Linked DNA regions of Caenorhabditis elegans. The protein of the gene in region 1 interacts with the protein of each later gene in a pairwise test. Each region holds a gene or a part of one and is shown on either strand. Other genes may lie near its edges. The genes, in order: cku-70 and cku-80.

Evidence for each region.
Region 2: the proteins of cku-70 (region 1) and cku-80 interact in a two-hybrid assay, tested with the Caenorhabditis elegans proteins (3 studies listed by BioGRID).

The regions. Positions count from the first base shown.
Region 1 is NC_003281.10:11,148,787-11,163,784, reverse strand, and holds the start of cku-70 (Ku domain-containing protein), read right to left. Parts: upstream 8,959-14,998; coding exon 8,737-8,958; intron 8,684-8,736; coding exon 8,581-8,683; intron 7,177-8,580; coding exon of another isoform or gene 6,586-7,176; intron 5,570-6,585; coding exon 5,385-5,569; intron 4,594-5,384; coding exon 4,459-4,593; intron 1,725-4,458; coding exon 1,591-1,724; intron 1,427-1,590; coding exon 1,242-1,426; intron 1-1,241. Other genes in the region: Y47D3A.31 (BAR domain-containing protein), read left to right, coding at 6,586-7,176; pola-1 (DNA polymerase), read right to left, coding at 9,841-9,989, 10,997-11,196, 11,829-11,977, 14,122-14,211, 14,266-14,450.
Region 2 is NC_003281.10:4,412,531-4,428,774, reverse strand, and holds cku-80 (ATP-dependent DNA helicase II subunit 2), read right to left. Parts: upstream 8,928-16,244; 5' UTR 8,920-8,927; coding exon 8,779-8,919; intron 8,732-8,778; coding exon 8,536-8,731; intron 8,487-8,535; coding exon 8,309-8,486; intron 8,263-8,308; coding exon 8,179-8,262; intron 7,857-8,178; coding exon 7,784-7,856; intron 7,734-7,783; coding exon 7,499-7,733; intron 7,454-7,498; coding exon 7,323-7,453; intron 6,878-7,322; coding exon 6,562-6,877; intron 6,510-6,561; coding exon 6,449-6,509; intron 6,404-6,448; coding exon 6,318-6,403; intron 6,265-6,317; coding exon 5,846-6,264; intron 5,794-5,845; coding exon 5,661-5,793; intron 5,608-5,660; coding exon 5,519-5,607; 3' UTR 5,400-5,518; downstream 1-5,399. Other genes in the region: C28A5.6 (Protein kinase domain-containing protein), read left to right, coding at 1-352, 742-1,100, 1,944-2,054, 2,102-2,230, 2,282-2,376, 2,422-2,490, 2,541-2,702, 3,103-3,217 and 5 more; R07E5.7 (vacuolar ATPase assembly integral membrane protein VMA21), read left to right, coding at 9,609-9,714, 9,761-10,075, 10,122-10,276; R07E5.19 (Vacuolar ATPase assembly integral membrane protein VMA21 homolog), read left to right, coding at 10,723-10,888, 10,963-11,105; pdcd-2 (MYND-type domain-containing protein), read left to right, coding at 11,114-11,132, 11,336-11,487, 11,746-12,065, 12,458-12,752, 12,803-13,177; R07E5.11 (Intraflagellar transport protein 46 homolog), read left to right, coding at 13,549-13,671, 13,717-13,935; mpc-1 (putative mitochondrial pyruvate carrier 1), read right to left, coding at 14,139-14,264, 14,313-14,459, 15,178-15,318.

The DNA.
Region 1 (14,998 bases):
AAAAAAATTTCGGCTAAAAATTCAAATTTTCTCACCATTTTTTTCCGAATTTTCACAACAAAAAAAATTTTCTGAAAAAAAAACTATTTTTCAATTTTTAAAAATACTGCAAAATTAATTTTACCGGACATTTTTTTTTCTAAAAAACTTTGAAAAAGGTTTTTTTTAGAAAGTATATAATTTTTGGGGTTTGTTATTTTAAAAAGAAAAAATGAATAATTTTTTCAAAAAATCGTTAAAAAAAAGAGCCAATTTGCCGAAATTCATACTTTTCCAACAAACTAAACCCAAATTTTCTCAATTTTTAAGCAATTAGGTCTCCAAATAAGTTCCGGGTCAAAAATCATAACTTTGTTCGCTGCGAATCGATTTTTATGAAACTGTGAGAATTTATATTATCATCCATGGTCTTTCATTTGACAATAGTCACAAAATTTTTTGACCACCCCAAGTGGCCTAACTCGGAGCCAATTTTTTCAGGCATTTTTCTGATCTCGCTTCTTTTCAGTTTTCAATTGAGCTTTGTGTGCGGATTTTGCTTTGTTTAGAATACATTATTAGAAAACAACAAAAGTTTTAAAAAAAAATCCACTCAAAAAATTTTTTTTTGGTTGGTTGTCAAAAAATGTTCAAAAAATTTTTTGTCGAAAATTCTAAATTTTTCCTACAAAAATGATGTAACCAAGTGTAAACTATTTTCAGACATATAAATCATTTGAGTTAAAAATTTGAATCTCAAGAAATATTCAAAAAACTAAAAAATTATCCGAAAAAATTATATTCTCTATCGAACTAAATTGATATGTTTTGTTTGTGTAAAAATAGTTTACACTTGGTTACATCATTTTTGTAGGAAAAATCTAGAATTTTCGACAAAAATTTTTTTGAACATTTTTTGACGACCAACCAAAAAAAATTTTTTTGGGCGGATTTTTTTCAAAACTTTTGTTGTTTTCTAATAATGTATTCTAAACAAAGCAAAATCCGCACACGAAGCTCAATTGAAAACTGAAAAGAAGCGAGATCAGAAAAATGCCTGAAAAAATTGGCTCCGAGTTAGGACACTTCGGATGGTCAAAAAATTTTGTGACTATTGTCAATTGAAAGATCATGGATGATTACTTAAATTCCCAAAGTTTCATAAAAATCGATACGCAGCGAACAAAGTTATGATTTTTGACCCGGAACTTATTTGGAGACCTAATATAATTTTTAATTTTTCAGAAAAATTAAATACTAACTACATCGAATCAACATCTTCTGAGTCTCATCAAGAACACTATCCTGAGTTTCAATTTCTGTCGATTCCAATTCCATTTTCGACTCTTTCTTCACGTATCCCGACGTTTTTACAATCTTTTCCTCAGTGTCTCGGGTGTATTTTTGACTGTGGTCCAATGGTTTCGCTTCCATTACCATTGAAAATCTGGAAAATGGGGTTGATTATTGTAAAATACGTCCAAGGAAGGGGCGTGGTTTGAAAAATGTTAGGCTCCACCCATTTGTTGGGCTTTTTTTTTCAAAATGGAGTAAATTCTAAAAAAAATTTTTCATCGAATTTTCCACGATTTTCTTTTTAAAAAATCGTACACAGAAACGTCAAAAGTGACACCGGGACCAACGTTAACCGTCAGCGTCGCGTGTGATCGTTGAGCAGTGATTTTTTGACGAATACGGGCGGCCGCGTCGCATTCCGTACTGAAGACTTCCGTGTCCAGGTCGTACTGAAATATTTGGAAAACTTTAATTGAAAAAAAAAAACGTAAAGGCGCAGAAATTTGTGGATTTTTTTAAATTTTTAAATTTTTTTTTTTTGTTTTTTTTTTTTAATTTTTTTTTTTTTAACCAGCCGTTCGCACGCGCTGAAGCGCGTGCTCCGACTGGCGTACTCAAAATTAAAATCAAATTCTGAAATTTCTAAGCATTTCACTGCAGATGGAACGTTTTTTTCCTTGTTTTCCGGAAGTTTTCGAGCAACATAAATATTATAAATTTAAAAAATATATATATTATAAAACTATATATTATAAAAACTATAATAAAAATATATATTATAAAACTAATATATATATTATAAAACAAAAAATATTATAAAACTTAATTTTAAGCAATTACAATTTTAAAACCTCAAGTTTCCTGGAACTTTTATGAGACTTTTTCCGGTCCTTTCCGAAAGTTTTTGGCGAGCGTTTTTGGAAATTATCTATAACAATTTCTGGTTTTTTTTAATTCTTAAAACTTCAGAATATTCTAGGAGTATCAAAACTTGAAAGGTTCTAGAACTTCGCAGAAGTTTCTTGAATTTTTTCAGGGAATTGAACATTCCAGACTTTGCTCGAATTTTCTAGAAAATTCTGGAACATTCGAGAATTTTCCCGATTTTTCTAGAAAGTTCTGGAACATTACAGACTTTTCTCGAATTTTCTAGAAACTTCTGGAACATTCCAGAATTTTTTTTCAGAAATTTTGAATTCCCGCCAAAATTTTTCACAGAAATTTTGAATTCCCGCCAAAATTTTTCACAGAAAACTTGAATTCCCGTTATAATTTTTCACAGAAAATTTGTATTCCCGCCAAAATTTTTCACAGAAAATTTGAATTCCCGCCAAAATTTTTCACAGAAATTTTGAATTCCCGCCAAAATTTTTCACAGAAATTTTGAATTCCCGCCAAAATTTTTCACAGAAATTTTGAATTCCCGCCAAAATTTTTCACAGAAATTTTGAATTCCCGCCAAAATTTTTCACAGAAATTTTGAATTCCCGTTATAATTTTTCACAGAAAACTTGAATTCCCGTTATAATTTTTCACAGAAAATTTGTATTTCCCACCAAAAAGTTTTTCTCAGTAAATTTGAATTTCCCGCCAAAAATTTTTATCAGAAAATTTGAATTTCCCGCCAAAACTTATGGGTCTCGCCAAGATGGGTCTCACCACGAAGGGTCTCACCACGAAGGGTCTCACCACGAATTTTCTCGAATTTTCCAGAAGGTTCTGGAACATTCCAGAATTTTCTCGAATTTTCCAGAAGGTTCTGGAACATTCCAGCATTTTCTCAAATTTTCCAGAAGGTTCTGGAACATTCCAGCATTTTCTCAAATTTTCCAGAAGGTTCTGGAACATTCCAGCATTTTCTCAAATTTTCCAGAAGGTTCTGGAACATTCCAGAATTTTCTCGAATTTTCCAGAAGGTTCTGGAGCATTCCGGAATTTTCTCAAAGTTTCCAATATCCGTTCAATAGACGAAAAGTCAATTTTTCCCAAACTACAGTAATCCTACAGTACTCCTACAGTACCTCTACAGAACAACTACAGTACCCCAACCATATCCCGACACTAACCCCAAAGCAATATCTCTTCAAAAGACGAAAAGCCAATTTTTTTCAAAAATACAGTAATCCTACAGTACTCCTACAGTACTACTACAGTACTACTACAGTACCCCGACCATATCCCACCACTAACCTCAAACCAATATCACTTCAAAAGACAAAAAGTCAATTTTTCCAAAACTACAGTAATCCTACAGTAACCCTACAGTACCCCTACAGTACTACTACAGTATCCCGACCATATCCCACCACTAACCCCAACCCACAATCCCTTCAACAGCCGGAAACACCTTGCAAGTGTGACGTCACAGACTACAAACTACAATTGTAACATCCCTCATGTATTTTTTTATATATAAGTAATGATAATTTTTTTTTAATTTTAATTTTAAACAATTTATTTTTGAAAAGTTCCAAAAAAAAAAAAAACTTTTTTTGCGTAAAATTCTCTACAATCTCAAAAAAAAATTTGTTCATCAAAAATTTTCCGACACAATTTTTTCCGATTTACGATTTTTTTGCCATAAAAATTAATTTAAAAAATTTAAAAAATCTTTCACTATTTTTTTTCTAGAATTGTATCACATTTTTAGGATGTAAAAAAAAATTAAATTGAACTTTAAAAAAATTTTTCTCGAAAAATTCGTTTTTATCGAGAAAAAAAAGTGTTTTTTTTTTTGCGAAATTCGAATCATTTTTTTAAATTTTTTTAAAAAAGTATCAATTTTCAGAGGAATCGTAAAAGCGATAATTATTTAAAAATTCGGAAATCCGTTAAATCTCCGTTTTTTTTTAAATTTTTTCCCGGGGTTTCGGATGAAAAAAAAACCTTTTTAATTAAAACAAAAAAATATATTTTAAAACCCTTTTTATTCGAAAAACCGGGGAAAAAATAATTTTGGTTTAGTTTTAACATCTGTTTTATTCAAAAATCGATTTTTAAAATTTATTTTTGAAGACTTTTCCTCAAAAAATTAATTTTTTAATAGAAAAAAGGAAAAAAAAATAAACCAAAAAATTATGATTTTCACGCTTTAAAAAAGCTAGATTTTTCGAAAAGAAAACACTTTTTTTTTCGGAAAAATTTAAAAATTTATCGATTTATTTTTCCTGCACAGTAGAGTACCCATGGCTCCTTCCGTTTCTCGTCCTTATCCTGTGGCTTATATCCATCCTCTGGCAACATAATAACCGAAAATTCACCGAGCGTCTTTCGATGTCCCTCACCGATAATTTTGGTGACCGCGGCTTTGGTGCGTTTCTGAAGAAAAAAAAATAATTTTGCTTAAAATTGAAAATTTAGCGCTTAAAATTTACTCGAAAATCGTAAAATTCACGAAAAATTGAATTTATTTACAAAATATAGAAATTAGTGTTTTATTCAAAAAAAAATTCCGAAATCTTTTGAGCACTTTTTTTCAATTTTTCCAACTGAAATGCAATCTTTCTTAGATATTATAGGAGCCCAAAATTCTGAGAATGCGTACTGTGCAACATATTTGACGCGCAAAACATAACTATATCTCGTAGCGAAAACTACAGTAATTCTTTAAATGACTACTGTAGTGATTGTGTGTCGATTTACGGAAAACATTTATTAATCGATAATAACATATTAAACAAAAACACACAAGTGACAAAAAAACGAAAATCTAAAGAAAATTGTCATTTTTGTGTTTTCTTTTAATATTTTATCGATTGATAAATGATTTCCGTAAATCGACACAAGCGATACAGTAGTCACTTAAAGAATTACTGTAGTTTTCGCTACGAGATATAGCTACATTTTGCGCGTCAAATCTGTTGCACAGTACGCATTCTCAGAATTTTGGGCTCCTATAATATCTAAGAAAGATTGCATTTCAGTTGGAAAAATTGGAAAAGTGCTCAATAGTTTTCCGAATTTTTTTTGACTACAACACTAATTTATATATTTTGTCAGTAAATTTAATTTTCCATGGATATTATGATTTTTTAAAGTTTCTTTTTTTGTATTTTTTAACGATATTTTATGTGTTTTTTCCACGAAAACCCGCCAAAAAATCCACTAACAAAATGCGAAGATTCCAAAAAATCGTCACGTTCAAATGGATTCCGATTGTTTGTCAAATAAATGACCGATTGATGACGTGTATTCGAACAACTTGCAAACACTCGTTTACAGTAGTTAAGCACATTTGACAAGTCGGATTTGTGATGATCACCGCCGTAATTGTTCACTGCCGAGAGGAGGTTTTCTGGAACAAAAAATTATTTATTTTCTTTTCGGAAAACTTCTGAAAATTGAAATTTCACTTCAAATCGGGACCGCCAACCAATTAGCAATGTTGGTCACGCCCACCTCGGATCGCTTATTGGTCGGAAAGCCTTCACTGAGAATCGCATATGTCTAGTGACTTTGCAAATATATCAAATTTCCGGTAAAACCAAAATAACGTCGGTTGCATAAACTTGCCGAAAATTTCGAAATCTACTGCAGGCGTGGGCGGCAAACGATTTCTTTCCGGCAATTCGGCAACTTGCCGGAATTAAAAACTTCCGGCAAACCGGCAAATGGGCGGAATTAAAAATTCCGATAAATCGGCAAATTTCCGGAATTGAAAACTGCCGGCAAACCGGCAAATTGCCGGAATTGAACATTTCCGGCAAATTGCCGGAGTAGAAAATTTCCGGCAAATCGGCAAATTGCCGGAACTGAAAGTTTCGGCAAACCGGCAAATTGCCGAAATGGAATCTACAGCCAAATCGGAAAATTGTCGGAATTGAAAACTTCCGGCAAATCGGCAAATTGGCGGAATTGAAAATTTTTGGCAAACCAGCGAATTGCCGGAATAGAAAATTTCCGGCAAATCGGAAAATTTACGGAAAACCAGCAAATTGCCAGAATTAAAAACTTCCGGCAAACCGGCAAATGGGCGGAATTGAACATTTCCGGCAAATTGCCGGAGTAGAAAATTTCCGGCAAATCGGCAAATTGGCGGAAATGAAAATTTCCGGCATATCGACAAAACCGGCAAATTGCCGGAATTGCAAATTTCCGATAAACCGGCAAATCGCCGGAATTGAAACTTTTCTAACTTTTTCAAACTTGAACAAAACTCAAATATCAAATTTTTTTCCGTGAAAATCCCAAAATTCCACGTTGGAAATTTCAAAATTCCAACAGCAAAAAAAAAAAACGCCGCGGACAAAATTCAAAATTCAATTTATTCCTAAATTTCGACTCGGTGGTGTGTGCGTGAGTTGTTCAACAATGTTCAGTCGACTAAAGCAAAAAGTGAAAGAAAAGACGGGCAGAAGCAAGGCGACAGTGCTTCCCGCCGAAATCGACGAGGCGTTGATCTACTTCAAATCTCTGAAGCCCCGCGTCCAGGATCTCTACAAGCACATGGCAAATCTGAACGACGTGGCAAATTGGCAAGTGAAAGCCAACTTTTCAGGCCCACTGGAGAACTATGCTCTGCTCGGAGATCGTATCAACGTGCAACCGTTCATCAATTGTGTCGACACGCGGATGGAGGCAGAAGTCGAGTCGATGGATAAGGTGCTGGCGATTTGTGAGCGGTACAAGGCGTTCACACAGAACGAGAGTAAGCTTCACACAAATACAATTGCCAATTTGAATAAGACACGTCTCGATATGGATAGTGCTGCGAACAAGTACGCCAGCAACGACACTGACGTCAATCGGACTCGGTTTGATGATGCCACTCGTGAGTTTGAGGTGGCTTGTGATCGGATGCGTGAGTTGGCGATAAGTATTCAGACAATTGAGGAGACTCATTCCATGTGGCAAGATGAATTGATGCGGGAGATAAAGGCCGGAATGAGGAAACCGAATTGAGGTGGTGGTGGTGGTGGTGATGGATGAGAAATTGAAAATTGAAGAGATCTCACAAAAAAACCTTTTTTTTTTTTGAAAATAAATTAGGTTATTATGAAATATTGTTTTGCCAATTTTCTAGGCGGCGTGGCCTACACGATTTCAGGCCGCTCTTTATGAAAAGCTAAGTTCTGGCGTCGAAAATTGCCAATTTCTTGAAAAAAAAATACCGGAAATTGTTTTGTCGAAAGCAGTGGTGGACGGCAATTGCCGTTTGGCAAATTCGGCAAATTGTCGGAAATGCCGGTTTGCCGGAAACTTTAATTTCCGACAATGTGCCGGTTTGCCGAATTGTTGCCGGAAATTTTTTATTCCGGCAAGTTGCAGATTTACCGGAAACTAAATTCCGACAATTTGCCGATTTACCGAATTACCGTATATTTTCATTTATGGGAACTTGCCGGTTTGCCGTTTTGACGAGAACTTTCATTTCTGGCAATTTGCCGGTTTGCCGAATTGACGGAAATTTTCATTTCTGGCAACTTGCCGGTTTGCAGTTTTGCCGTAAATTTTCAATTCTGGCAATTTGCCGGTTTGCCGTGACGGAAATTTTCGTTTCCGGCAACTTGCCGGTTTGCCGAATTGCCGCAAATTTTAATTTCTAGCAACTTGCCGATTTGCCGGAAAATTTCATTTTCAGCAATTTGCCGGAAATTTTGATTTCTAGCAAGTTGCCGGTTTGCCGAATTGACGGATATTTTCATTTCTGGCAACTTGCCGGATTGCCGAGTTGACGGAAACTTTAATTTCCGACAATTTTCCGGTTTGCCGGAAATTTTCAATTCCGGCATTTTGCCGATTTGCCGGAAACTTTAATTTCCAACAATTTGCCGGTTTGCCGAATTGCCGGAAAATTTAATTTCCAGCAAGTTGCCGAATTGCCAAAAATGAAAGTTTCCGGCAACTTGCCGGTTTGCCGGAAACTTTCAATTCCGGCAATTTGGCAATTTGCCGTAAATTTTCAATCAATTCTGGCAATTTGCCAGAAACTTTTAATTCTGGCAATTTGCCAGAAATTGTCATGTCCGGCAATTTGGCAATTTGCCAGAAATTTTCAATTCCGACAATTTGTCTATTTGCCGGAAAAAAATCGTTCGAATTTTCAAAAAAGTGGTGATCTACCGAAATTCTGCCAAAAGTCAAAAGAACAATCAATTTTTTGCCAAAAAATTGCCAGATTGCGTATAATATTCTGAAATTGTAGATTTTACTCGAAATTTAACTGGAAATTGCCAATTTGTCGAGATTTTGAAAAATTAGAAGTTTGCCTAATTCACTGCGAAAATTGTGCCAAGTCGCCAAAAGACGACGAATGCCGAGAAAAAAAACCACGAAAATGTCAGAAATTGTCCGCGATTTCCGCACCTTCCTCCGCAATTTCCTTAATCTTATTCACTTCTTCCTGTCCAAGAACACCCATCGGCACAAGCAGAGTGCTATTTTCGAGTCCCTCGGTCTCCGAGTTTTTCTGTAATTAAAAAATTATTAAATTTTCAGAAATTCTTCAGAAAAAACTCGTACAGTACTAGTGACAATCACTCCGATATGATTGTTAAGGCTCCGCGAGCAGCAAACACGGACTATTTCGTCGAGAATGAGCTTCAGAGCAAGCTTGAACTCTGGCGGCTCACCGGCTTTCGACGTTTCGAACATTGCCGGATTTCCGTCAATTATGAAGAATGTGTACTTTTTATTGGCCGTTGAACCCTCGAAATCGTCATCCTCGAAGCGGGTTTCGTCCATCTGGAAAAAAATTGATTTTTTTCAAACTTTTCTCGAAAAAAAATTCAAATTTTGACTGAAAAAATCGAAAAATTAATTTTTTTTGAATTTAAAAATATTTATTAAAATATTTTTGTTCTCAAAAACTTTGAAATTTGACATTTTTCAAGTTTTGAAAATTTCGAAAGTTTTTTTTTTCAAATTTTTCGAGAAAAAAATATCATATTTTGTCGATTTACGGAGCTCGTGACTGAAAAATTAAAAAAAAAAAACTTCTCCTCGAGGAGTACACCAGCTGCGTAAATAGACACACGGTTTTTATGCATGTGTCGATTTACGACGGATTTTGAACTACACGTGGACAAGTTTGAGTTCAATTTTTTTGCAAAATCTCGACTTTTTTTTTGGCTAAAATTTCAGTTTCCGAAACATTATCCCTCGTAAATCGACAACCCCTGTGTCGATTTACGCAGCAGCCTTCGTGTACTCCTCGAGGAGAAGTGTTATTTTTTGCTCAAAAATTTTAATTTTACAATAAAATAAATTACTTTGCATAGAAAATTTGAAAATAGCGAAAATGTTCAAATTCTCCCCGTAAGTCGACACAAATACTATAATAAATTGAAATAATTTTTTCAGAGATGGAAAAACTCCAAAAATTCAGTGAAAAAAGGGAGAATTAACACAGGATTCGATTGTTTATCAGATATGATTTGAGTATTTTCGGGAATATTTTTTTGGGGAAAAATAAAGAATTTTTCACTGAAAATTAGGAGAAAATGGAAAAATGGAGGAGGAGGAAATGACTTGTGAAAAAAATTAGGAAATTAGAAATTTCGACATAAAAAAGACGGGAAAATCGCAAAACTGGGGGGAAATTTTCAAAAAAAAAAGAAAATAAATTCATTGAATTTTCATCATTGGCGCAAAAATATATGAAAGATCCACTCGATTATAGGCATTTTTCTCCAAATATTTCTCATTGATTCGATCAGCCAACATCATTGAATCGATTTTGCACCCATTATATTCGACACGGACTTTGGCGGCTTCTGGAAAAAAAAAACTTTTTTGAAGAAAAAATTGTACAAAATTTCCTGGAAATCGAACTTTTAATGCTAATTTTTAGTGAAAAATTGTAATTTTCAACGAAAAAAAAAACTCAGAAATCGGAGAAAAAATTTACTGAAAAAAAATTACGGATTTAAAATTATTTGAGCCAAGCTTTTCAAAGAATACGGTACCGGGTCTCGATACGACAAATTGTTGTTGAATGCGAAAAAGTGTGCGCCTTTAAAGAGTACTGTAGTTTCAAACGGATTTTTTTAATCGATTTTGCGCATAGAATTTCACACGATTTGTTAAAACTTAAGCGGTTTATTTCAGTTTTTTTGTTTAACGAAAAACTGAAAAAAATGGATGAAAATTTCTCAAATTTCATCCAATTTTTTTCAGTTTTTCGTTAAAAAATATGCTTTTTATTAGAAAAACTGAAATAAACCGCTTAAATTTTAACAAATCGTGTGAAAATCTATGCGCAAAATCGATAAAAAATTCCGTTTGAAACTACAGTACTCTTTAAAGGCGCACACCTTTTCGCATTCAACAACAATTTGTCGTGTCGAGACCCGGGCGCAAAAATCGTGAAATTTCGGGATTGAGTAATAAAATTATAAAAGCCGAATAATTTTATCTCCGTAATTTTTTTTTTGAAAAAAAAAAATGCTGAATAGCTGCTGAAATAGAAAATAAAATTTTTTAAGTAAACTTTTTCTCCGAACTCTGCGTTTTTTTTTTTGAAATTACAATTATTCACCAAAAGTTTACATTAAAAGTCCGATTTCCAAAAAAAAAATTGAAAGAAAATCACATTTTTTAAATCGAATTTTGAATGATTTTAACGCAAAAATAGTTAAAAATGTTCTCCTAATTCGGTTTGTTTCCATTATTTTCGAGATTTTCCGCTAATTCTCACGATTCTTGGCTGAATTTCGCCGAAATTTCCCATTTTCTAGGGATTTTTCCCATTTTTTTCCAATAAAATTTCGCAAACACGAACTTTTCTGGGCGTCGCTCAACTTTCGTACAGCCGCGTCGACATCGAGAATTGTTCGAAAGAACATTTGCTGATCGAAAAGCTGTTTTGAAGTGTATTCACGACGGAGCACACCAGTTGAGCATCGAATACATTCGAGTCCTTCTCGACACCATTTCATCGTTTGTACGCGAGTTTTGAATTCACACGTTGGCTCATCGCATCTGCAACAAAAATTACGATTTTTTGAAAAAATTCGGAATTTTTTTTTAAATTTTGCCTCTAAAAAAAAGAAATTTTATGGGGATTTGAAAAAAAAAATTGTTTAATATTTTTCAGTGTGCGGTTTTTTGTGTTTCGATTTTCAAAAAATTCGGAAATTTTTGCCATTTTTCCTATTTTTACAAGAATATTAAGTGTGCGCCAATAGCCGTTGGGCAAATTGCCGGAAATCTTTAATTCCGACAATTTGCCGATTTGCAGGGAACTTTCCAATTCCGGCAATTTGCTGGTTTGCCGGAAATTTATAATTCCGGCAATTTGACAACTTGCCGAAAATTTTCAATTCCGGCAATTTTCCAATTTGCCAGAAATTTTGAACTCCGTCAATTGGCCAATTTGCCGGAAATCTTTAATTCCGGCAATTTGCCGATTTGCAAGGAACTTTCGAGTTCCGGCAAATTGGCAAATTCTCGGAATTGAAAATTTGCCAATTTGCCAGAAATGTATAATTCCGGCAATTCGCCGATTTTCCGGAAATTTCAATGTTGGCAATTAGTCTTCAATTCTCCTGATTTTAAGCAGGTTTTTTTTCCAAATTTTCAGAAAATCGGCAAATTTCCATCAAAAATCGTACTTAAACGCTGCGAGATGATGTCTGGCGACGAATTCCGACATTTGTCGGTCAACTTGATTCCCAATCACTGCTTGATGCTCCTGAAGATCCCATGATCCTTGACATTGAGCACATCCGGAGAATAGAAGGCGGGGAGACGAGGCATCAGTCTGAAATTAAACGAAAAAGTTGAGAATTATTTTTACCAACAACCACTGAACCACCGAAGACGAGGGTTTTTCTGCAGTAAAAAGTTGTTGCCACATTTTTGGACTTCTCAATTACTTGATTTCACCGTTAACCATATGAAATATGGGCTAATCCATTGGATTTAATGCACTTTTTTCAGATGCAAATTTCACCCCCTAACACTGCAACTTTTTCCTCACGAGGGACGAGGAAAAGTGGTTTCTAGGCCATGGCCGAGGGGCCGACAAGTTTCAGCGGCCATTTATCTTGCTTTGTTTTCCGCCTGTTTTCTTTCGTTTATCATCGCTTTTTTTTTCGTTTTTTCTTAATAAAACTGATAAATAAATATTTTTTGCAGAGGCTAAAACAATTTCCAAGTAAAAAATCATCTATTCAGTGGGCAAGCAGCGGTGAAAGTGGTCAATGCAATATGATGGATTACGGGAATACAAAACCTAAACTTTTTCTGAAACATGATACATATGCTGCTTAAATGCTGAGACTACCTGATTTTCATAACGAGATCGCTGAAAAAGTTTTGAGGTTTCCAAAATTCAACTTTTTTGGTGAAAAAGTCGAGATTTTCGCACAAAAAGTTGAATTTTGAAAACCTCAAAACTTTTTCAGCAGTCTCGTTATGAAAATCAGGTAGTCTCAGCATCTAAGCAGCATATGTATCATGTTTCAGAAAAAGTTTAGGTTTTGTATTCCCGTAATCCATCATATTGCATTGACCACTTTCACCGCTGCTTGCCCACTGAATACATAATTTTTTTACTTGGAAATTGTTTTAGCATCTGCAAAAAGTATTTATTTATCAGTTTTAATAAGAAAAAACGAAAAAAATCGATGAAAAACGAAAGAAAACAGGCGGAAAACAAAGCAAGATAAATGGCCGCTGAAACTTGTCGGCCCCTCGGCCATGGCCTAGAAACCACTTTTCCTCGTCCCTCGTGAGGAAAAAGTTGCAGTGCCTAAAAGTGAAAACGGGCAGAAATTTATTTTAGAATCGGGTAGAGAAATATTTTAGCTATTGGATTCTATTTTTTTCATATTTTTCATGCATCTTGTGGACTGGCCATTCCCTAGTTAGAAAACCACGGTTATCTCAAGGGAGTAGGAGACTTGGGCATACTTTATAGAAACAGTTCGGAAAAACGGAAATTTTCGCCAAATTGTGGTTTTGCACATTTTTTTCATTAGAAAAATCAGAATTCCAATCCTAATCGCCAAAATTGTATGCATCCTATGAATATTCCTCCTACATCTATTTTGAAAATTGAGAAAATTCTATGAACATATCTAAAGAAAACGGGAAAAAACATTTCAAAAATACACCGTTTAAGGGTTTCCGTTTAAAAAAAAAATCCCTCTAAAAACTTCCGGCTAATCGGTAAATTGGCAAAAATGAAAATTTCCGGCAAACCGGCAATTGCCTCCCACCCCTGATACGGGCATACTTTATAGAAACAGTATTCGTATCAGGGGTGGGAGGCAATTGCCGGTTTGCCGGAAATTTTCATTTTTGCCAATTTACCGATTAGCCGGAAGTTTTTAGAGGGATTTTTTTTTTAAACGGAAACCCTTAAACGGTGTATTTTTGAAATGTTTTTTCCCGTTTTCTTTAGATATGTTCATAGAATTTTCTCAATTTTCAAAATAGATGTAGGAGGAATATTCATAGGATGCATACAATTTTGCCGATTAAAATTGAAATTCTGAAAATTCCAAAAAAATAAATTTTTTTTTTAAATGTGCAAAACCGTAATTTGCCGAAATTGTTCGGCAAATTTGGCAAATCGGCAAATTGCTGGTTTGCAGATTTGCCGGAAAAAATCGTTCGCAAATTTTGTATGTGTTGCTGAGAAAAAAACTATAAGAAAAATACCATTTTCTTCTAAAAAGTGTAATTTTTCGAAAAAAATGAAAAATTTAATTTTGAAAAAAATCGAAAATATCCAATCCTAGCTTTTCCAAGGATTTTTAAAAGAAAATCTCCAAATTTTCAATAAAATTGAGGAAAAAAAAGTTTCTTCTCGGAAAGAACCCCAAAATTTCGCCATATTTTAGTTGCGAAATTGCCATGCCAACAATGTCCAGTTCCTCTGCGTCTCTTCTCTCTTACCACACAATCAAATGTCTCTCGAATCACATTTGAATGACCGCACCCATCGAGTGGACAAATCACATGAATTCCTTCGCACAAATCATAATTCTGAAATTAATTTTTTGAAATTTCAATTTCTGGCGCTGCTCCGAGCGAGCCCACCTCTTGGTGCCACGCGCAATCTTCTTCTGCTGCTCGCTGTGAAGCTTGAGCCGCCGCAGCTCGTCGATAATTGGTCGAATCCAGACCGAGATTTTCGGCAATTCGGACTGCGTCGGTTTCCTCGATGGGCTCGACGAGCCGCGATACGACTGGATGAATTTGTTGAGCCAGATAGTAGAGGAGATCTGCAAAAAAATTGAGTTTTCAGGCGAAATTTTGGGAATTTTGAGACCTAATTTCTTAAAAAATGAATAAAAATAAAATTTTTGTGGGTTTTCAGGGTTTTTACAATTTTTTAATGTTAGTTGCCAAAAGTTACCAAAATATAGGAAAATTCTTGCATTTTTGAGGGAAAATTACCAATTTTCAGCTCAAATTCCATCAGTTTTGTATAAAAAATGCAAAAATTTGAAAAAGTTTGCCCCAAAAGTACGATATTTTGAGCTGAAAAATGCGAAAAACTGCATAGTTTTTGCCCAATACCCATCAATTTTGGGCTGAAATTACCCGATTTTGCATTTTTTTAAAAGTACAAAATCGATGAATTTTGAGCTGAAAATTGGGATTTTAGCACAAAAAAAAAACGAAAAATGTTCTCTAAATTTCATGATTTTTGTCCTTTGACCAAAACCTATTGCTTTTGAGCTAAAATTGTATATTATTCAGTCGCGAAATTTTTCGCCAAAAGTACACTACCGGGTCTCGACACGACAATTTCCTGTTAAACGTAAAA
Region 2 (16,244 bases), 6.7 Mb from region 1:
CAGCCAACGGATATGGTAGAGCCATCATCTGCACCAACTACTGAAGAGACAGAGACGGAGAATGAAGAGGAAGATGATAAAGAGAAGACTGATAAAGAGAAATTAGACGCAGAGAAAGAGAAAGCATTGGCTGAAAAACGTCTTGAAAGAGAGCAAAAACTTTATAAAGATTTGAAATCTTCGTCTGATGACACGTCATCATCTATTGATGATAAAATGAATTTTGACGATGAGATTGAATATTTGGAAGAGATGTTGGATAACATAGAGAAACAGAAAGACAGAAAAGGGTCGAAAGATGAAACTGAAGACACTGATGCTACGGGAGATGAAGAGGATAGCATGTTTGAAGGTATTAAAGGAATTTCAAAAGATGCGTAATAGTTATTATGAAAAAAGGTCTCAGAGCGCGCGAACATGCATTCATGAATTAAACTTTTGTGTATGTGCCTTTAAAGTTTCGGTAGGCAATTGATGTGATGAAACATTGTATTTTCAGTTTTTTCGACGGAAACATTGAAAAGTAAATATATGGGTTTTCTTTCTAAAATTCTTAATTTGTTTGGTTTTTTTTCTCAGTGAACAATCGAGATCTATACATGAATTTTCTACAGTACTCTTAAAGGCACGTATGCAAAATCCCTTTGGATATATGCAAGGAGCGCGCCGAGACATTTTGCATAAATACACATTCTTTGAGACTGATAGAAGAAAAAAAAAATTCCAAAATTAATTTTCCAGAAGTCAAGTCGGCGTCCAACAAGTCGGGAGCCGAAAAATCGTCAGCCGAGCAAACAAGCAATGCAGGCGTTGAGACATCTTTCAGTCAATCATACTCTTCAACAACTGATACATCATCTGCAATGCTTGATTCTGAATCAATTATCATTACGTCTTCGGATCCAGATGCAGACAATGCAGATCTTGATCGAAATATTGAAAAGTTCAATTGGGATTCTGATGATCTCTATAGGTCGACTGATACCGATTCAGAAGTCGAGAATTTGCTGGATTATTTGAGCACAGCGATGAACATTTCTGATAAAGTTTTCTCGGAGTTTATGGTAGTTGGTGAAGAAACTACGCCATTGTTGAAAGAGGTATTTGTTTTCTCTCGGTATCACTAAAAATACTGAAAATGTCATTCTTTCATTCCTTATCTTATACTATATCTTTTACCTTATCTTATACTACCCAGACGCTGAATTTTGCGATTTTTTAACCGATAATACAGTACCCCGGTATCGACACGATCTTATTTTGATTAAGGAAATGGGTTTGCGCCTTTAAAGATTACTGTAGTCCCCTTTTTTCGTCACCTTGAAAGTTATTTTTTAACTGAATTAAAATATAAAATACACGAATTTCTGAGAAAACGTCAGAAAAAATTCCACAAAAAACGAAAGGTTGATAACTACAGTACTCCATAAAGGCGCGCACACTCTTCTGTGTTCATTAAAATCGTTTCGAGACCGCATTCGAATTTTTCTCATATGTTTTCTTTATATTTTCATTGAGAATTATTATTTGAAAAACGAAGAAAACTTTCAAAATTCAATTTAAAAAAGCTACCGTATCATCTTAAAGGCGCACGCTCATTTTCTTCACTCTAATTCAAAAGATTTTCAAGTCTACTTTGAAATATTTCAAGTATTTTCGAACTCCTTTTCCAATTTTGAATAACTCTAAACATTTTAAGAGTTCTTGCAAGAGCTCCACCCTTAATGGTATGCAAAACATAGAGGATGACAAAACCCGCAAGACGTCTGCCGCCTCTTGTGTCCCCCCTATATAAACACCTCCTATTGCGAGATGTCTCGTTCTTCCGAGAACATATACTAAAATTGGAACAATACAGAGAAGATTAGCATGGCCCCTGCGCAAGGATGACACGCAAATTCGTGAAGCGTTCCAAATTTTTTGTGAAATTTTTCGTGTTTCAGAAATTGAAGACTTTCCAACTTCCTATGCCGCGTTTTCTGAAAAATACCAAATACGAAATGATGGAAGAACTGGATCCTGATGGTCCCATAAGTGAAGCTTTAGGCAATAATGTTTGTTCTAGAAGTAGTTTTTCAAAGTTTTCATCAACTATTTTCAGCCTGAAAGCAACTCATCGACATCCAATCAATTTTGGCTCGTTCAAAATATCAAATCGGGTTGTATGTGCTCTGCAAAGCTTGTCAGCCGAAAGAATCCAGAACATTTGCAATTGCAAAAGAATTTAGATGTAATTTCATTTATAGTATCACAGAAAGTAACTAGATAACTTTGTTTCCAGAAAGAACGCAAGATTCTCTATGATTTGCTCCCAGAGCTCTCGAATCCATCGCATATTGCCCGTCTTGTTGATATTGGATATGATGACGATTTTAAGTAAAAAAAAATTAATATCTCTGGTCCCTTCAGTTTGGTTTTCAGATTCCTAATTTTCGAGGATTTTGGAATGGATTTGCTGACGCTTTTTGATGAGTTTGGAGCTGTTTTGAAGTGAGTTTCACTGGATATCAATATTCGAATGTTTAAATAAAAACTTTCAGCCCTACCACAATGTTTCTTATCAGTTATTTCACTTTCAATGCAATTAAAGAACTTCATTCATTCGATATTGTTCATTTGGATATTCGACCATCTTCATTCAGTGTCAATCAGCATCCATTCAATATTAAGATCACTGATTATTCAAGATGCATGACGAGAAAGTAGGTTTTTGCCAGACGGACACGCCTTATGCTTGCGTGTGTGCCTAACTCATGTTTCACTCATACCTGCCTCATGCTACGTTGCCTACCTATGTGCCTATTGAAAGCTTACCTTCTTAGTTCTTGCCTGCGTATCTACCTCGCACCTGCCCGCCTGCGTACCTACATCGTCCCTACGTGCCTACTTAATACTTACTTTCATTCTCACCTAAGCGCCTACGTACGTGCCTATCTTTTACCTACCGATGATGTGCCAACTGTCTACCTACATGTCTGCCTGTCTATGGGTTACTGTATTTCACACACATTTTTGATAATATTTAGTTTGTGGTGAGAGCTGTTACTGTACTTTTACGCAATGTGAAGTCGTGGCGAGACCCAAACTCTCTGCTTTTTATAGACCAGAAATGAAAGTTCCTGACGATGCTCGACCCGATTCGTTTTCTCCGAGAGTTTTCCACCAAAAAGATGCACAATTTGATGAATTTGTGGACTTTGAGGCATGGGTTTACACGGTAGGAAATCATTATGAATCCAGATTACAACGAAAATTTTGTAGATGCTATTTCTGTGCACTGCCGAGAAGCTTCCATGGTTCGGAGATGCAGAGAATATGTTCAAACTGAAAGAAGTATTTTTCAATGATCCATGTGAGAGCTAATGTTTGACAATCTGCCAATAATTGTTTATTTTTCAGTGAATTATCTCTATGATGGTTGTGCTGATTTTGTTCCACTGGTTGCTTGTTTCATAGCCAATAAAAAGTTGACCTATGAAACTTTCATGGAGAAAATGAGTAAGTGTCAGCTTAGTATTTTTTTTATTATTTAATGTTTTTATTTCAGATCTGATATTTTCGGTGGATGTTATGCAATATTCTGACAAAGAACAACCAAGACTTTACACAATGAAAGAACTCGAAGAAGTCAAGAAAACTAGAAGAGCTCCAGATTTCTACACGAATAATGCGATTGATCTAGTAGAAGGTCATTGGCATGCAGCTGATGAATCGGATCACGATAATTTGAAGGCATCGGATGAGGAGAATGAACAGAAAAGTGCAGCAGCAAGAAAATCAAAGAGTGAGAAGAAGAAGGATTCTTGTGAGAGGTCAAGCGCTGAAACATCTTCTTGCACCGAACAGACCTCTTCGCCAATGTCAGAAGCTAGTTCATCTGATGGGAGAAAGAAACCGAAGAAGGCTGGGAAATCAGCTGAGAGAAAGGAAAAATCCGCAGAAAGGAATCCGTCGAGTGAAAAGGATGATGATGGTGCAACGGAGGCGATGATTGGTGTCGAAAGACGTTCAACTCCTTCCGATGTTGTCAAGAATAAAAAAGGTCGAGCGAAAGGTGATCCGGAGAAACAGAAGCAGGATAGAAAGGAGAACAAAACTGAAGAAGAGAAGAGTGTAAGTATTATGGATCCATCTCGAGACGTAAATAGAGAATGCCGCAGTTTGAAAGCAAAGTGCGTGCAATTGCGCTCCACGACAATATGAAACTATTTATTGGCGGCAAATCCGGAAATTCAAATTTTTAGTAGAAAATTTTAATTTACGTTTTTGACGCCAATACCTAACGATATATAAATTCCGGTGAGCAGAGTTTTCATTGGAGCGCAATCGTACCAACTTTGATTTCAAAACTATAGTTTCTGCGTCGCGATAATATAAACGAGTCTTTGAAAATTTATAATTTTCAGAAATTATCTGAACCACCGAAGCCGAAGCCGGGAAGAGGAAAAAAGGTCAGCCGCGGACTGATCACCCGCGAGTTTTTGTTGGGAATGAGACATGATTTTACTGGTACACAGTCGGCAATGACAGGCTCATATGATTCTACGTCTGCCACATCGTTATCCACGTGGACTTCGTCTACGTGTGCAACTGATGAAGGAGAAGAGAAGAGGAAGTTCAAATGGAGTCTGAAGTCTGAAGAGGATTCTGAAGTTGAGTTTTTCGAAGACTTGGATCAAGAGGAAAGAGAACATTTTAGAAACTATGAGAATCTAGTTGCTCTTTCTGTTAAAGGTATTTTTTATTATTATTGTAATTGTTGGTCATACTCTTGTTATAGATGAAGTGGCCCTCTCGTCTGGATCTGAAGTCGAACCACTCTCTGATATTGATTCTGAGGAGAATCTGGCAATTATTAAAAGACTTGAGAAACGAGAGATGGAAATCGGTTGGGAAGTGTCAAGTGAGCGGGAGAAGACAACCGGCGATAGAAGCCCAGATGATCAACTCGATAAACTGGAAGCATACGAGAAGAAGTGAAAAAAGGAGAAAGATTAAAACTTCCATCGGAACTTGATCTATTACTTGAAATTGAAGATTTGAATAAACTGAACTTGTTTCTTAAATTTGTGAATACCTGAGTCGTCATTTTAGTGGCACAAACTCCGTCAAAGATAGTAGGCAGGCACATTGGCTAGATGTAGGCGATAAACTAGGCATTGAAACCTGTGGGAGGTGCATAGGTATACCTATAGGCATGCATTATGCACACAAGTCGGTAGACATTAAGATCGATGTTTGAGTACTTCTCTGTTATTGTTACCAGTCTGCCTACCGATACACTTGGGTACATCACATTTTCGCCTACCTACGAGCCTACATCTTGCTTTTCCCTACTTTTTCCTCTCACTGTACGTACTAAATAAAAAAAATGCTGACTTTCACATTAAAAAGCGTTCTTTGGGTGATCACCATGATACGGTAGTATGATTTTATTTTCATTTCAGTTCATTCACAGCTTTAAAATGATTGTAGTTAGTTATTTGAGATACATTGCCATAAAATAAAATAAAAATGCTCAATCTTCTTCCCAGAATTCGGCAGCATTGGCGACGGAGACTTCTGACATGCTGACTTCGGAAGAATCAATTGGATTGCATGATTTTTCTGAAATTTGTTGAATGAGGAATGGCAGAAAAGTGGACATGAAATGGTAGTACCTTCAGAAAGAACTTCAGCAAATGGTTCAAAGTCTTCTTCGTCTTTCAACTTCTTGAGAAGTTCATTGAACTCGTCACATTTTGAGTTTTCAACGAAAACTGAGCGAATAACATTCAATTCATTGACGAGAAGCTGTAAATTTAAAATTTAAAGTTTTATTTTGAAAATCTATTTTTGAAAATACCGTAAAGAACTCAGTAACTGCTCCATTTGGTTGAAATTTGCAAGTATTTGAAATCATTTCAAGAATTTTCGAGCAAACACGACTAGCTCCGCCATCTTCCATGATATCCATTTGAACTTCTTCTTTTCTCGTCAATTTCTTTGCATTTGGTTTTTTCTTTTTCTTTTGACTTGCACCATCATCTACCTCATCTGGTTGTGTCATATTCTGTTTTTTCTCCGTCCATTCGGATATCATTGTCTGCAGATCTTCAGGCTCTACCGTAACCCGTTCTCGTTTGGTTTTCTGAATTGGTTGCAGATTGAATTCGCGGCCAAGCTTCTGGAAAATCTCCGGATGTTCTGCTTCGACTCTGCGTTTCGGTGCCATTATTTGATCGAGAATTTGATTGGTTCGATTGGAATGATTTTCGAAGGTATCTGAAATGACAATAATATTATTTCATTTAAACCGAATTCACAAGAATATGTACCGTTTGGATGTAGAACTAAACTTTTGAGAAAATGGCATTGCATCTGCAATTTTGGATCACTCATTCCACCTTCGACCAGTGAAGAGCTGAAAACAATTTTTTATTGGACAATATTTTTCTGAAATTCAAACATTTCATCTTCTTGTAATTGCATACAATCGATAAGGTCATCTACAGCGGAGAGTTGAGCTACTGAAATTTAATTAGTTTTTTGTTAAATTCAAAAGTCTGAATGAATATATACCAGTAGGCTTATTCAAATCTTCATCTTCCTCGTCAAATGAGAATTTCGGGAATTTCAATGTTCTCATATCATCGGAAAATGGTAATTTCACTGATCTTAGATAGAAAACGCCAGTTTCTTCATCTTGATGTGGTAGAAGAGCAATGAGTTGCACATGAGATTTTGCATGGAATGTGTATCGACAAATGGCAGCGACTCGAAGTGAAAGCATTGCTTCGATGAGGGATACGGTAGCTTTGGTGGCACCTGATTTTGGTGAATTGAGAGCAGGAAGTACTGTTTTCGCGCTGGCATCGAGGAGATATGAGTCGAGAATCTAGAAATAATTATTACAATTATGAGATGCGAAATTTTGCGATTTATGAATGGCTATCTTTCTTTTGTTGTGATTTTGAACCAAAAAGTAAAAAAAACGTTATTTTTTTTTCAAAAATGCTAATTTTAGAAGAGAGGTAAGACACCGATTTTTTCGGAGAAATTTGTTTTTGGTCGGAATTATTATTGTGACAACTGGATCTGAAATGAGATTTTTTTGGTAAAATTTCGTGATTAGTTTTTCGGTTTTTTTCTCAAAAAAATGACCATGATTTGTCTATTTTAAAATACAAATTTCAAAATATCGTGTTATAACTGTGAAAAATCGATGAAATTTCAACGGAAACGAAATTTTGAAATTACAGTACTCTTTAAAGGCGCACACCCTTTTTTCGTCGCCTCTAATTTAACATTCTCCGTCGTTGCGAGACCATGTCATATCTTACATTTGCTCTTTTCGTGAACTGTATCAGTTTTAGCACTCCACCAGTCTGTCCCTCGTTGAAATTATGATCATTGTATTTTTCTTTAAGATATTCTGGGTCCATCATGATAACCGATTTTCCGAAATTGTAGCCTGACGCATTAATAATAGATTTTAAAAAATTTAGAATTTCACTACCATGCATAGTTTTTATATTTTCAACGGGTTTAAAGTTTTTCTGAAATTTCGGTTTCTCTTCCAGAACCGGCGATTTGAATTCATCTTTCGGAGCAACTTCGTCAGTTTCCACGTGCATTTGTTCCAATCGAACCATTTCATTTCCTTCGGAATCTGCATTTTTGAACTTGAGTAGTGCTGTAGATTTTTCAGATTTTAGAGCAAAAATCACCGGGAGATGGATTCCAGGAGCAATCTGAACGTTATTTTTATTGTATTAGATTAGATTTCTTCAAAAACTCTTACATCCCACATTTTATTGTATTTTCTCTCGGATTTCTGACGAGCCTGGAAGGTGGAGAGCATCTTTGCGACGTTTCTGGAAATTGTAATTATGATGATATTACTCCAGGCGCGAAATGTTATAGTATTTGCGCCGAAAATACGGTAGCCGGTCTTGACACGACAATTATTGTTAGATACAAACAAGCGTGTTCCTTTAAAGGGTACTGTTATTTTAAATTTTCGTTGTTGTGGAATTTTTAAAGATTTCTCAAATAATATTTATGTGTTTTTAAAAACCATTATTTCAGTTTTTTTTAACGAAAAATTATGGAAAATCGATGAACATTTCGCAAAAAGCGTGTCTAGATTCCGTATTTTTGGCGCAAAAATCGCCAATTTTATTTTTAAAAACTCACTGAAAAGTATATGTTCTTCCTTCTAATGTTTCTGCCAATTCTGCAACTCGAGAAGCAGGATATTCTGGATTTTCATCGATTCCACTGGAATAAGTATTTTTTTTTCAACGCTAAAATGGAAAAATCTTACATTATCATCAAATCTGCATTACTTTCACTAACGGCTTCAACTAAAAGATCGAAATTTTCTTGTCGAATGTTCTCGTTTAATCCATTTGTCAGTACAATCAACGTGATTCCTGATGGATTCGGATACGATTCGATTTGATCTTTTAGCACTGCGACGGCTCCCAGAACACCTTTGAAAACTGAAAAAAATAAATAGGATTTTTGAATTTGTCTTGGATATTCTCTCACAATTTGGATCTATCATTTCTGTATTTTGCTGCAATTCCTTTGTGATAAACTTTAAATGATCAAAGCTGGCTGGTGTAAACTTTTCATTTTGACACTGGACTCCATTAAATGTTTGACCGCCAACTTCTGTTTTGTATTCTTTCGGATCCAAATTGTAGGCCATCACTGAGAAGAGCTCGGGATCTTTGGAAAATAGCTGAAAACAATTTTTTCTTTGAAAGTTTTCTCGAATTTTAGTATCACTTTTCTCGAAACAATCCAATCTGCAGCATTGATCGCATTTTCAAATGCACTTTTTCCAGTTTCAGTGTCTTTCACAGACATATTGGATCCTGCGTCGATAAGGATTACGGTAATCCCGGGAGATACCTTTTTAGGCGGCATTCCTGTAACTTAATTTAAATTGGTGATGTTGAGAAGTTCATATGGAAATATTGCGAAACATGTGAATAAATAATGCGTGCGTTTTTCAAGACTGGCGCGGGTTTTGTACGCAAACACCAACTTTTTGCTGCAGCGAAAAATGAATTTTAAAACATTAAAATTAGAATATTAAAAGAAGATCATTTTAGATACTGCTGGAATATAGCTTTTATCGTTTTTTTTTTCAAATAAAATAAACCAAAACTGATTTTTAAACATTAAAAACCGCTCCCACAAATTCACGAACGTTCGTTCGAACCTCGCGCCGATTATTTTGCGCGTCGAATCTGGTGCACGCGGACAGTTCACCGTCACGCAAAAGTGCACACTCTCAGAGATTGATCACATTTTTCGGTCATTCGTTGTTTTTCGTGAAAATCAAAGTTTAAAAGGGATGTTTCGGGAATTTTTTGTTTGATTTTAAACATAAATTAAACGGTTCTTTCCGAAGTTGAAAGTTCTTCGGTTTTCCGATAACTTCCTCCTTTTCTTGCTTATTTTCAGTGTTGTGTTTGTGTTAAACGTTTTCCTCGTTGCCCGATTTGGTCTTTCGTAATTCTATTTTCTCTGTCAATAACTGACGTTAAATTACACGCTCTATATTTTCATGCGCTCTTCTGGTTCCTCGGTTGTATTTAAATCTTTCCAGAATGAGCGATACTCCAGAACAGGAGCAAGACTTCGAGCTGATCGACGGAGCTGAACGAAAATCCAGCACTTCAGATAGTTTTGAAGCTGTTGATGAAAAGAAAAATGGTATTTTACAAATATATGTTTTTTGTTTAGTGAATTAATAGTTTAGGTAGTCAATCTGTCAGTGAAAACGAGGATGACAATGCTGACAAATCGGCGAAAGAGGAAGATGATGAAGTTGAAGAGGAGATGAAGCTTCCATTCGTTGATCAGTCAATTAAAGACGACGCAAATCGGCCGAAAGAGAAAGACGGTGAGGACCTAGTAGAAGAGGCACTGAAAGCACCGATTCGACCCGATCAAGAACAATTCTACACAGCAGAGCATTCGAATAGAGCTATAACTCTGCTCATCGCATTTTCTGCAATGATGTTCACACTTCCACTGCTTGTTATGGCAAGCTTGTATTATTGGGTATTCATCGGTAAGTGGACTTTTCCAGAATCAATTTTATAGATAATTTGTTTCAGACCACTTCCATTTACCACCAGCAGAAGCCATGCTTTATGCCGGAGTATGTGCTGCCTTGGTCGTAATTCTCATTGCTGCCGCTTTCTGTTATATTGCATGGAAAGAAGAGAAAGACGCCGAAGACAAACTCAGAGCAGAGAAAAAGAAAGAATAGCGTGGCTGTGTATTATCTTCTTCAAAAATTCCTCCTGAACATTCACTTCCCGTTTGGACCTCGTTTACTTATTTGTGATCACTTCGACCCGTTCTATTTATATTAGTGCCTCTGGCTAGATGCTTTTGTACATAACGAATAAATTTTTTTTGTTATATTTTTTCCTTACTAATTGAATTTTTCTCTCTGAAGCGTAGTTTTCGCTTTACTATATTTTAATTTGAAATTGTCAAATTTTGTATCTCTTGATTTCCTTTACTTTTGGCGCCGCTGGATTCAACTCGGGATATCCGGGATTTTTTTTAATTAAAAAAAAACAAATTTTCGGTAAGATTCTCCCAGAAACCTTGGTATGAACCTATTCTCCCCTTAATAATCTTATTTTTTATTCCAATAATAATTATTTGATTTTAAACCCATGGATATACCGAGTTGTTTGCAGCGAAATGACCACTTCCTCTTCATCCGAACCATCAACAATGGCAACTCTGTTCCCGAACTTTCGTGATCAGGAAGTCCAATCCGCTGTCAAGAACCTTCTCACGTATAGTCTTGTGATTCTCATCGTTCCTCTTGCTTCTATGTTCCTCTTGAAACAATTCTTTTTCGAAGGTACAGAGCTTGTTCTACCGATTATTTTTAATTTTTGAAAAATGAATAAAATTCCATTTTCTCTCCTATTTCAGGGCTCCTGGGTGTCAGTGCAAACGACGCTTTGACCTATTCTGCGATCATTGCTGTCGTCCTCGTCCACGTGGTTTTGGGTATCTGGCTCTTCGCTGCTACCAAACAAGAAGATCGCAAGAAGCGTGAAAACAAGCAAGACTAGAAGACACAATGCAAACCGACATTCATGGTTCTCGGCAATTTTTTCTGTTTCACTTTCCCCAATCAATAATGCCTTATTTCTTGTATATTGATCAATCGAAATATTTAAATTTAAATTCTTTGACAAATTTCTTCAAGTCGGACTTAACCAATAAATTTAAGAAAATACACACTAAGTCTCCTGCCCGTTCTCTTTATCTTGTTTGCAGCATGAAAATAGCTCGTTTTCAGATGAACCAGTAAACTTGGGATTCGGAGTTCAATTCGAGCCAGATGATCTGTATCGTCTACGTTCGCAATTTCTTCCACTCGGAAAAATAGGAGGAAAACCGTCATGGTTGAATCCAAAAAATCTTCCAAAATCCGCAGATTTGTTGTGCAACGTAGGTTTTTTATAACAGAACTTTGAAACTGACCTAATTTTAGCTAAATCTTCAATTTTGCCAACTTTTCCGTATTGCAGCGTTCAGAAATTAATTTTATTTGATCATTGTTTTATTTTACTACAAAAATATGGAAAATAAAACAGCAATACGGAAATATTTGCAAAATTAAAAATTTTAGCTGAAATTATAATTTTTTCAAAATTAGCAACAAAAAACTTCCTACAACCGTCCACCAAATAATTTCCCAAATTTAAGGTCTGCGAGAAACCACTGTGTTTCCTGATGCAAGTATCAGCAAATGGAGGTATAAATGATCCTCCACACGCTTTTCATCGTTCTCTATTTCTCTTCGTTTGCCGTAATCCATCCTGCTCTCGTACAAATGATGCCGCAAATCTGAAAGCCTTCCGATGCCAACTTCCACGTGCCAATGATTATTATTCATTTGATGGACCAATGGATCCTGATTTGGATGGAGATGTTGCTGATCCACGTGCACCGGCTGATGGACCCGGATTGTGTCGAATCTGTGGATGTTCCGCTGCGAAAAAATGTGCCAAGTGCCAAGTGGCGAGGTGAGAGAAGTTACCCATACGAAAAATGTTGCGTCCAGAATAAAAAATTCTCCGTTAAATGCAAAAAGGCGTGTGCCTACTCTAATTAGTACTCTAATTAGGCTTATAATTCCAAAATTTTCTTGCTGCGGAATTTTTATTGACTTTTAATATTTCTTCTCTCGAATATAATTATTTTGTTAAAGTTTAAAAAAATTAATACAAATATCTTCGGAAAACTTTGGAAAATCTATGAAAATTCAGCAAATTTATAATTACAGTACCCCTTAAAGGCGCTCACATTTTTGTGCATTTAACAAAAATTTGTCGTATCGAGACCAGTTACAGTATTTCTGGCCGGAAAGACGAAATTCTGGTAAATTTTGTTCACACCTTATATGTCACAATTTCAGATATTGCTCTCAAGCTCATCAAGTCATCGACTGGCCTGCTCACAAGCTCGAATGTGCTAAAGCGGCAACAGATGGCTCCATAACGGATGAACCGAAAAATCCAAGAAATGCGTTTTGTTTCAAAGAATTCGGTGTAGAAATTGATCAGGAATATATGCCAGCAAATCTGTTTGACGGACTTAGTGATGATGAAGGCGATGAGGAAGAGGAAGAAGGAAATGATGAGGATGAGACTGAAGAGGAGAAGAAAGCAAGAATCAGAGAATTTGAGAAATTTGTCAAGGAGAACAAAGGGGTTAGTTTGACGCCGGAAAAAACAATTAAATTTCTCAATTCCTTTTTCAGAAAAACGCTGACATGACAAAGGAAGATTTGGATGAAGCCACCGCCGAGCAACCAAAAGATATCGATTTTGATAAATTCAACCGTCTTGTCAATTTGCAACCCGATCAGATTATTAGATACAAGAGATACGGACAGCCACTCCGTGCAACTGGCCTTTCTGAATTGCCAGAAGTTGTGGAACCATGTGAACTTTGTGGAGCTCCTCGTCGTTTCGAAATGCAGCTTATGCCACATCTCTTGTCGCTCATCGATGTAGATGCTATTGGTCAATCTATCGACTGGGCTTCCGTGTACGTGTACACTTGCTCCGCGAGTTGCCAGATCGCTGATGATGGTTATGCGAAGGAATTTGTCGCCAAGCAAGATTTCCTTTAATTTTTTTCCTCGTTATTTCTCTTGTTCGCAATTTGTTGTTTTTCTTGTTTGTGTTGTTCTAATAAATTTTGCATTTTTTTAAATGTTTATTATTAAAAAGATTGGTGAGAAACGCCGGTTATGTATCTGAAAATTGTAATTTTTCAAAAATGGAATCAGCTTAAATGAATTATTTTTTGCAGTATTTCGATAACTAAACTCGATAAAATGAAAGAAAATAGAATTTGATTTGAAAATCACGAAATTTCGCCGCACGGTTAGATTTTTAACTATTTTTCATCAATTTTTCAATTTTCCTCGATTTTATCGAGTTTACTTATGAAAATCTTCAAACAAGACTTGAAGAAATTCGTATTTTACAGCTTATTTCAATGGAAAAAGATGCTCAAGCAGGTGAACCAGAAGAAGAAGAAGTCGATGATGAGCTGTCAAGTACAGACTTGTACGAAGATTCTATGGCTGAAGTGACATTGAATGAGACACGCGGAGGACATGTTAGTTGGAATCGTCCACTGTACTCGCATAAAAAAATGTTTTAGGACTCTGATCCATTCGATCGAAGTGGTGAATATGATGAAGACGTCGATCTTGCCGCACCTCCTCCAATCACTCCGGATATTCCAGAAATCCCTGCAGATGTGCTGATTTCGCTGAAAAATCGTGCAGAAGGAACTGCCATCGATCTCAAAAATCTCAAAAATCCATTTGACGATTCTCAAAAAGTGGATGAATCCGAAGTTGAAGCTCCATTAAAATAATGATTCTCCCTGTGAATGTTGACATCTAGTCGAGTCGCTAGTTACGGTTTTCTTCGAACACCTATTTTTGCTTTACATTTTCAGTTCATATCATAAATTTATTTTTATTTAACTTATTCTTTCTAAAATTCCCTAGAAATTCGAAAAAAGGATACCATAAAAAGAGCGAAACCCGCTAAAAATTATATATTTAATCAAATTGCTCAATGTGCCTTGCTGATCACTTCCGCATCGTGTTCGTGCTCCAAAACCTCCTTTTTCATCATCAATTTATGGTGGACGGGATCTTCAACGTAGTGCAGATAGTTGTGGTTCACAAATCGACCGAGCTGAAAAAATTAAAAATTATCAACTGGAGCTGCTGTTATGGAGTATACCTGAGCTCCTTGAGCACTGAAGTTGGCAAAATGGCAAGCGAAGAGCAAAAGATTTCGTGGTTGAACGTGCCACGCGAATCTCATGAAAACACTCGAGTAGATCAGAAGAGCTGACGTCATTGGTCCACTGATCATGTCAGGATTTTTCTGCAAAAAAAATTATAGAAAATTTCACAAAAAATTTGGAACGCTTCACGAATTTGCGTGTCATCCTTGCGCAGGGGCCATGCTAATCTTCTCTGTATTGTTCCAATTTTAGTATATGTTCTCGGAAGAACAAGACATCTCGCAATAGGAGGTGTTTATATAGGGGGGACACAAGAGGCGGCAGACATCTCGTGAGTTTGACAGAGTAGTATAAAGAGTGTGTGTGAGAGGGTGTAGGCATTTCATAACATATTTTTTGTGGAATAATTTTGGAAAAAAGGTGTTTTTTTAATAATAGCTTTTATAAGAGTTTCTCAAAAATTGCATGCTTTTTTTGAAAAGGTTGACAAATTATAGTAGTACTAAAGTTGCTATTTTCAGGTCTCAGCAGAAAATTCACAACTAAAAATAAAATTTGCAAAACAGAGTGTGCGCCTTTAAGGTGTACAGTTTTTTATTCCTTTATTGCTAGTTTTTTTTGTTAAATTTTTGGGAAAATATATTTTATTTCATGTGAAAAAAATTGATTAACCTGCAAAATTTAGAAAAGCAAGAAAACATAATTACGACTACTGTTCTTTTTAAAGGCACACACATTTTCAGCACTTATTAAAAAAACCAAATCTGGCTATGGATTAAAAGCGCTTTTCAATTTTTAAACACCCAATACAAAAGTAACGTTTTTTCACCCTAACTTGTCTCTAAAAAATGCAGTTACCTTCAAATCTCCAAGAGCAGCCAACGGAAGTCCCCAGTTAGCCACTGGTCCCCAAAAATGAGTTGACAAGAAGTAATGCTTCCATTCGGCGGTGGAATGTTGCTTGAAATATGTCGTCACTTTTGATATAACTCGAGACATCTGGAAATATGAATTTTTAGGTTTTAAGCTTTTTAAAAATATGTTCGAAAATGTTCATTTCGCTGAAATCGCGTGAGAAATCAAGAAAAAACGTCCGATATATATTTGGGTTTGATAAGGAACAAAAAGTGATAAGCAATCAAATCAGTATTTTTGTTCAATGATGATAAAATAAGGAAAACCCTCTGTAGAGAATTAGAGAAAAATGGATGAGAGAACGAAAATAAATAATTGTTTTTGTCAGTGGCTAAAAGATGATATTGATCTTTTTGGTTCCATTAGAAGGTTTAATTTTGATTTTTCAGAAATTGTCTTTAGGTTTTAAATTCAAAAAAAAATTGAAGCATGGCCGTTAAATTATGAGACTTTTGCTCCAAAAATACTATACCGGGTCTCGACACGACTAATTTCTGTTGAATGAATCGGCTTTTCATAGCTTTTCGATAAAAATATGTTTTCAAATTAAAAATTGAGGTAAAACAATAAAAACAGAAAAATTCGAAGAAATAATGAGATCTCATTATTTGTTGGATTTGAGAAAACAATGAAACATTTTTTAAAACTCAAAAAACAAAAGTTTGAGAATACAGTACTCTTTAAAGGCGCACACCTAATCCCACTCAACAAAATCTTCGTGGCAAGACAACGTGTCGATTTACGAAGCTCGTGTACTCCTCGAGGAAAACTGTGTGCATTAATTTATCGCGGATAGCTTTGTTTTTAGCCAATAAACTTGATTTTTAACCATTTTCGCTAATTGTTTTATGTATAAAACATTAATTTACCAATTTATCCCACATTTATAGTATTTCATGTAAAAAACCAATGCGTTTACTGCTGAAAACTACAAAAAAACTAGAAATTGTAGTTTTTCAGCATTAAAATTTGTTGGGTTTTTTTTCTAATTAATTTTTCTAATTTTTCAA